2 linked regions of the Daphnia pulex genome follow. The protein of the gene in region 1 interacts with the protein of each later gene in a biochemical or structural test. Links are inferred from orthologs where the notes say so. Each region holds a gene or a part of one and is shown in the gene's direction. Other genes may lie near its edges. The genes, in order: ubiquitin-like modifier-activating enzyme 1 and ubiquitin-conjugating enzyme E2 J1-like.

Region 1 (3,865 bases):
AGCAAAGGTTTCTTCAATACCTTCTTTTTCTGCTGTTAAAAAAGAATCATCCTCATTGGGAGAGGATTGGAATGAATTATCTTCATCAGAAATGTTGCTCTCCTTTAATTTAAGTTTTAAGGCACCAATGCCAGTCACCGACACACTTTGATTAATGGTTGAACTGTTGTCTACATTTAATTTGGATGATGTTTTGTTCTTTCGTGAAGTTTTTTTTTTAAGTTTTGATCTTTTCGAAGTTGGTTTGGTCTGTCCATTTTTTAAGGAATCATAGACACTTTTGGCTGAAAGCAAATGACTGACAAATGACAATTTTTTCTCTGCCATATTTGTTGAGTCAGAACTATCGTTTGTGTTGCTTTTTCTTGAAGAAGAAGCAGTCTTCGTTTTTTTGGTTGAGAGTTTCTTCATATTTGTCAAATCTTCGTGGAGGCTTAATGAATCTTCAAGAAAATTTTGGTTTGAGTTTTTATTTTAGTAAGCTATTTTAATAATATTCAATTATACCTGATTAGATCCTATTGTTATATTTTATTTTAAAAAATGCAGATTTTACAGTATTTTTAAGCAGCCGAATTTTCAATCCAAGCACGTGTAAAACTGTAAGCTATAACGCTCAAGTTGCCAGATGCTCTTTAATTCAGCGATCAAATTGTCGGCGGGAAATGTAACTATTATTACGCGTACTTTCTTTGTCATCATCATCACTCTATTTAATAATCGGCTAATAAAAAAGTCGACTATTGCGCCACCTTACTCGTTGATTACAGACATTTTTACTTTGGATTTTAGTAGGAATAGGGAATTGCCGGTACAAGGACTTACTTGCATCAGCTGATACCCGCCATTTCCCCATATCTACGTCGAGTCATCGGTGGGAGAAAGGTGGCAGCACGCAGCACTTTCGAGTTCATAGAAAGTACTGGTAATTACTGACTGACTTTCTGTTGCTCTCTTGCTCGTCATTCTTTCAGTTTGGCTATCTTTCGTTCCAATCCTGGTGTGCAAATTCGCCGGCATTTTGTCGTAATTGTTCATAATTCTCCCTTCGTTGGAATAGTCTAAGTGAGTATTCCAATCGTTCGGAGTTTGAAACTTACCGTAATTTTTTTTATATTAAAGTAAGAAAACTGGTTTGTTAGCACCCATTGTGACGCTCGTGTTGCCCAAGGTATTGAGTTTAATTTTTAGATGTCCACTGCTGAGGTGGATCCGTCACCCTCGTCTCCCAGTCCTGCTGCAAAGAAAAGGAAGTTGGAAGAAAATAACGGGAACAGCAGTAACGGTAGCAATCACCATTTAAAAGAAGTTCAGCAGCAACCGAAAATGGCAGGAAATGGCAACATCCACACCATCGATGAGGGTCTTTATTCCAGACAACTTTACGTATTGGGCCATGAAGCTATGCAGAGGATGGCAACTTCTGATGTCCTGATTTCCGGTCTTGGAGGCCTTGGAGTGGAAATTGCTAAGAATATCATCTTGGGAGGTGTGAAGTCCGTCACCCTTCATGACAACTCAATTTGCAAAGCCTCTGACCTTTCTTCCCAGTTTTATGTATCGGAAGCAGATCTGGGAAAGAACAGAGCTGAAGTTTCTCACAAGAGCCTGGCCGAACTCAACCAGTATGTCCCAGTAGAAACTTATACAGGAGAGTTGAACAAAGAATTCTTGAAGAAATACCGAGTTGTAGTTTTAACTAATTCAAGTCTTGAAGAGCAACTTCGGGTTTCTGAGATCGTTCGTAGCTTCGGCAATGCTCTCATCGTCTCTAAAACACAAGGTCTGTTTGCCCAAGTCTTCTGTGACTTTGGGGAAGATTTCACCATCATCGATACTACTGGAGAAAATCCCGTTTCTGCTATGATTGCTGGAGTGTCTAAAGAAGAAGCAAGTGTTGTTACTTGCTTGGATGAGACCCGGCACGGATTGGAAGATGGCGACTGTGTTACCTTCTCTGAGGTACAGGGCATGGTTGAGCTGAATGGTTGCGAACCCAAGAAGATCAAAGTACTTGGACCATACACCTTTAGCATTGGTGACACGAGCGCTTTCAGCGACTATGTACGTGGAGGAGTGGTTACCCAAGTGAAAATGCCTAAGCAAATCCACTTCAAACCGTTGGCTGACGCTCTCGAAGAACCAGAATTCGTGATGACAGATTTCGGCAAATTTGATCGGCCTCCCCAAATCCATCTAGCATTCAGGACATTGGACGCCTACGTCAAGAAGGAGGGACGATTGCCAACTCCTTGGAGCCGTAAAGACAGTCAACAGTTTGTGGATTTAGCTAAAGAGTTAAACAGCGGTCTAAGTGGCTCATCTAAAGTTGAAGAAGTTGACGAAAAGTTACTGGCCACCTTCTCCCATGTATGTCAAGGAGATTTGAACCCCTTAAACGCCACTCTCGGCGGGGTTGTCGCTCAAGAAGTTATGAAGGCGTGTAGCGAAAAGTTTTCTCCCATTGTTCAATGGCTATACTTCGATGCCACCGAGTGTCTGCCAGATAACCAAGATTCGTTGACCGAAGAAAACTGTAAGCTTACTGGATCCAGATATGATGGACAGGTATTGAAATATTTATTTTTGTTTTTCATCAGTTATGCATTTTATTTTTTTACATTTTCAGGTGGCAGTGTTTGGCAATGAATTCCAGAAAAAGCTTGGATCCCTACGTTACTTCATTGTGGGAGCTGGAGCTATCGGTTGTGAGGTAATTATCAAAGTTTTTGTAATAAATTTTCTGTAGATTTTATTAATTAAAAAATATATTCTATTTGTTAGCTTCTCAAAAATTTTGCCATGATTGGAGTTGGTGCTGGTGAAGGGGGCCAAGTCTTCGTAACAGACATGGACTTGATTGAAAAGTCCAATCTGAACAGGCAGTTTCTTTTCCGGTCGCATGACGTACAGAAACCCAAATCCAGTTCGGCGGCCGCTGCCGTGAAGGTGATGAACCCTCAGGCCAACGTTACAGCCTTCGAGAATCGCGTCGGTCCCGAAACGGAGCAGTTCTTTGATGACGATTTTTTTTCGAAATTGGATGGCGTTGCTAATGCCCTCGACAACGTGGATGCCCGTATCTACATGGATAGGCGCTGCGTCTATTACCACAAGCCCTTGCTCGAATCTGGAACTCTGGGTACCAAAGGAAACGTTCAAGTTGTTATCCCCCATCTAACGGAGTCATATAGTTCGTCTCAAGTAATATAGCTTATTATTTATTTTTTCTTTTATGCTAGTTTTCTGGTTTATTGTAATTAATCAACTTTCTTCTTAAACTTATAGGATCCTCCGGAAAAATCAATTCCTATCTGTACGCTGAAGAATTTTCCTAATGCCATTGAACACACACTGCAATGGGCTCGGGATATGTTCGAAGGGTTGTTCCGGCAATCAGCAGAGAGCGCTGCTCAATATTTAGTTGATTCTAAATTCATGGAGAGAACACTAAAGCTAACAGGATCTCAACCACTCGAGATAGTCGAGGCCGTCCACCGCAGCTTAGTTGAGGAACGTCCGAAGAATTTTGAGCAGTGTGTTCAATGGGCTCGCCTCCATTGGCAGGAACAATATCACAATCAGATCAAGCAATTATTGTTTAATTTTCCACCCGAGCAACTTACTTCTTCTGGTAAAATCTATTGATAAAGTGTAATTTACTTTGTATATAATTTTTTGTTTTGACAGGTCAACCGTTTTGGTCGGGACCTAAACGCTGTCCTCATCCATTGGAATTCGATATCACTAACCCCGTCCATTTGGATTATGTGGTTGCGGCTGCTAATCTAAAAGCTAAAATTTACAACATCCCACAGTCGCGCGATGTACAGGTGAGTTCACTTTTTTTAGTTAAAACATAATT
Region 2 (3,382 bases), on another chromosome or scaffold:
ACATTATTAAGGCGCGAAATCCGCGAAATCGTAATGTCATTGCAGACAAGTCTATCTACAGCAAATCAGGAAGTAAAAAGACAAATTGTAATGAAGCATTAAAGTTAAACTGATGAATTGATTTACTTGGATAGAGCGTCTGTAATATAGCCAGGGATTTCCCTCCTGGTGCTGCACATAAATCCAAGACAGACTCAGTTGGCTGTAGGTTCAGCGCCAATACGGGAAGTAGAGATGCAGCGTCCATCAAGTAATAATCTAGTAAAAGTATCTATGACAATTAGTAATCCATAAAGTGAATCTAGATACTGAACTTACTGGAAGTACCAAAAGTACTTTTTTTAGGGGAAGGAAATCGCGAGATGTCCCCTCGTGGAAAAACAAACGCTTTGAGCAGAGAAGGGAAATCCAGGCGTTCGTCTTTTTGCTTTTCAACCACAAAGTCGTAAGTTGGCTTGACATATTCAAACTGATCTTCTTCCTCTAGCCAATCTTCCATCCCTTTTAATTTTGTTGTCGGAACAAAATTCAAGTAGGCAGAAGTTGTCTGACCAGGAGAGATGACTCTGTCATCTGTGAGCTCTTGAAAGTTTTCACTCTCCTCATCTTCAACACCAGCTTCCTTTTCGAGGACATCAGTAGGCATGTTTTCTGGGGTTTTACGTGTTTTGGTTTTTTTGGAACGGCTTTGTTCAAAAAGTTCTTGAATATCCATGCACCCCATATTCTGAATGAAAGAGAATGAAAATCAATCGAATGAATTCACATTTGAACCCAAGTACTTGTACCTTGAGCTTTTCAATAGTTTCGTTATAGTCACCGTAGTAATTAACTAAAGCACAATGTTTAGGTGTAGACAACATTGCAAGTCTTGTTGCTGGCCAAAGGTCTCCATAAAATGTACCATAAAAATCATCGAAATGATCCAGGGCTCTATCTGTGTTGGTTTTGGACCACAAGTTCTAATAAAAAAACAAATTCGGTATACTACAAATTCATTCGTTGGTATAAAAAGAAATATTTTGTTCATTCTTACAGCTTCTCTTTTGTCAAACTTGTGCCGCTGGCTGACAAAAAATTGTGGGAAATTCCCACTACCGACAGCTTGCTGCAATTTCGAGATTGAACGCCACTTGCGAGCGAACATGTTTGCTTAATTATTTTCATGCGTTCGTGATTTTTTTTAATTTTTCAGTATCTTTGCCTTTGGAATTGGTTTTGGATTATTTGGGCACTCGAGACACGACTGTGATCTTTTTGCAGCACCTTCACTTCACGTGGCCGAGGAGAAAGAAAAAATCGAGGTCTCGTGGAAATATGCAAATTGCAAAATACAAAATTCGGGCGATTCAGAGCAGACGACAAATGTGAAGTGTGGACGCCATCTATGGATAGATAAATGAGACTTTAATATCAACATTTACTGCTACTGGCGTTTCGTTACGATACGTCATCCCAAATAAATCGACGTATCTCAGTCAGATTCAGTTAGCAATTGTATGTGGTAATAACAATCAGTTTCAGTGATACCATTTCTGTATTTGCATTCTTTGAGAAGTGCACTTAATAAAATGGAAAACAAATACAACATGAAAAGTCCTGGTAATGTATATTTTCACTTTTGTTGTGCAATAGCAATTGTTACATCAAGTCTGTTTTCACTAATCTATATGTTTTTTAAAGCTGTGAAAAGGCTGATGAGAGAAGCTCAAGAGCTATCACAGCCCACTGCTGAATATTTTGCCCAGCCTGTAGAAGACAATTTGTTTGAATGGCATTTCTCAGTAAGAGGTCCGGCCGACTCTGATTTTGAAGGTGGAGTGTATCATGGAAGGATATCCCTCCCTCCTGAATACCCTTTGAAACCGCCAAGCATAATGCTTCTGACAGTATGTATTATTCATTAATTTATTGATATTGAATGAATTGACCTAGTAAATAATTGTTTCTCCTTTTCCACAGCCTAATGGAAGATTTGAAGTCAATCGCAAAATATGTCTTAGTATATCTGGTCACCATCCTGAATCTTGGCTTCCTTCTTGGTCCATAAGGACAGCGTTGCTAGCTATTATTGGATTCATGCCATCTCCTGGTATGGGAGCCATCGCATCTCTGGACTACACACAAGAAGAAAGACAAAGGCTGGCTAAAAAATCGCTAGAATTTGTTTGCCCAGAATGTGGGAAAATTTTGAATCTTCTTCAAGAGCCCAGTCAGCTGACGACAAACGAAAACGAAGCCGTTCAAGCAGAAGCCCGAGAGATCGCAGCTCAGGTTACAATGAAGGGTGAATCGAACAACGAAAACCCGCCTGAAGAGCCTGCATCAAACACTGAAGAGCCGATTGCTGTCATCCAGCCGCCCCCACCACCATCCCAGCAAGTACAAACAGCTAGCACCAATAATAATAATGATCTTACCTATAATTACATAATCGCGGCCATCATCGTGGCTTTGGCAATCCTTTTGTTCCGTCGATTTGCTTCGGGTACGAGTGCTGCCTGAGGCTGGAGTCACAATCTATAAATATTAAATCTTTTATTGATTTCCAAAAATTCATGACTAGTAGAGTTAAAATGTTGAGAGGATCTTGTTCCTGGAGAATGCGTATAACGGGACTGCTAAATTCAACTTGATTCTGTAACAATGTGGCAATGAAAATTGTGTATGATTTGTGTATTCATTTATTGCAGATAAATAATTATAATTAATTTCAGGTGATTTAATTGGTCTCTAAAACTTTAATGTTTCAAATGTAACTTTTTGATTTTCTTTCTGTCCGGTACAGGAAAACGTAGGAATACAGTTGGATTTTGAAGTGAAGATAAGCGGGACAGATAATACATCATCGCGGGGAAAAGATAACTCATTTTGATAGATTAGGTTACAGGTTTTCATTTCCATTAGTCTAGAAAAAGTGCAACGGTAGTATAGATGTCATCATCATGGGTAAAAGGTATAAAAGCTCGCTGCAAAGTTTTCGCTGTTTCTTAATAAACTTTTAATTTTTTTCCAATGCCTGAACTATAGCGAAAGAGATCAAAAGAAACAGTGGGGACTCTTCTTTTGTTGCATCATTTTTGTGACTCTCGTCATGGTCTGTTATTACCTTCCACCTGGCTTTCGATTCGGCACAAATGTACATTATTCGACATCTAGATCTTTATTTTAAAAAAAACAAACAGATGATATCTCCTAAATTGAATCTCTAACGACATATAGGATGATTGCGTTGCCCCCTATTATGCAGATAACTCCACGGATCGAGTGAAAACAATTTTATTCTGGACGACTTGGTTTGGCCAAAAAGTAGAGATAGATTTCGGCATTTGTCCCGTTAGCAATTGTCGACTCATTAATGACCGACGCTTGTTAACAGAGA

Evidence for each region.
Region 2: the proteins of ubiquitin-like modifier-activating enzyme 1 (region 1) and ubiquitin-conjugating enzyme E2 J1-like form a complex in vitro, tested with the Homo sapiens proteins (2 studies listed by BioGRID, with this or other methods). The link is inferred for Daphnia pulex from reciprocal best matches to the Homo sapiens genes UBA1 and UBE2J1.

What each region holds. Positions count from the first base shown.
Region 1 is NC_060018.1:5,973,736-5,977,600, reverse strand, and holds the start of ubiquitin-like modifier-activating enzyme 1, read left to right. Parts: upstream 1-771; 5' UTR 772-919; exon of another isoform or gene 920-1,065; intron 1,066-1,171; 5' UTR 1,172-1,191; coding exon 1,192-2,568; intron 2,569-2,629; coding exon 2,630-2,713; intron 2,714-2,784; coding exon 2,785-3,204; intron 3,205-3,288; coding exon 3,289-3,634; intron 3,635-3,690; coding exon 3,691-3,833; intron 3,834-3,865. Other genes in the region: polynucleotide 5'-hydroxyl-kinase nol9-like, read right to left, coding at 1-411. UniProt on the Homo sapiens protein: Catalyzes the first step in ubiquitin conjugation to mark cellular proteins for degradation through the ubiquitin-proteasome system.
Region 2 is NC_060019.1:13,202,495-13,205,876, reverse strand, and holds ubiquitin-conjugating enzyme E2 J1-like, read left to right. Parts: upstream 1-1,408; 5' UTR 1,409-1,571; coding exon 1,572-1,602; intron 1,603-1,683; coding exon 1,684-1,889; intron 1,890-1,962; coding exon 1,963-2,505; 3' UTR 2,506-2,721; downstream 2,722-3,382. Other genes in the region: 5-methylcytosine rRNA methyltransferase NSUN4-like, read right to left, coding at 1-55, 127-258, 319-727, 789-962, 1,037-1,147; alpha-(1,3)-fucosyltransferase C-like, read left to right, coding at 2,946-2,956, 3,031-3,139, 3,223-3,382. UniProt on the Homo sapiens protein: Catalyzes the covalent attachment of ubiquitin to other proteins. Functions in the selective degradation of misfolded membrane proteins from the endoplasmic reticulum (ERAD) and is essential for cells to recover from ER stress.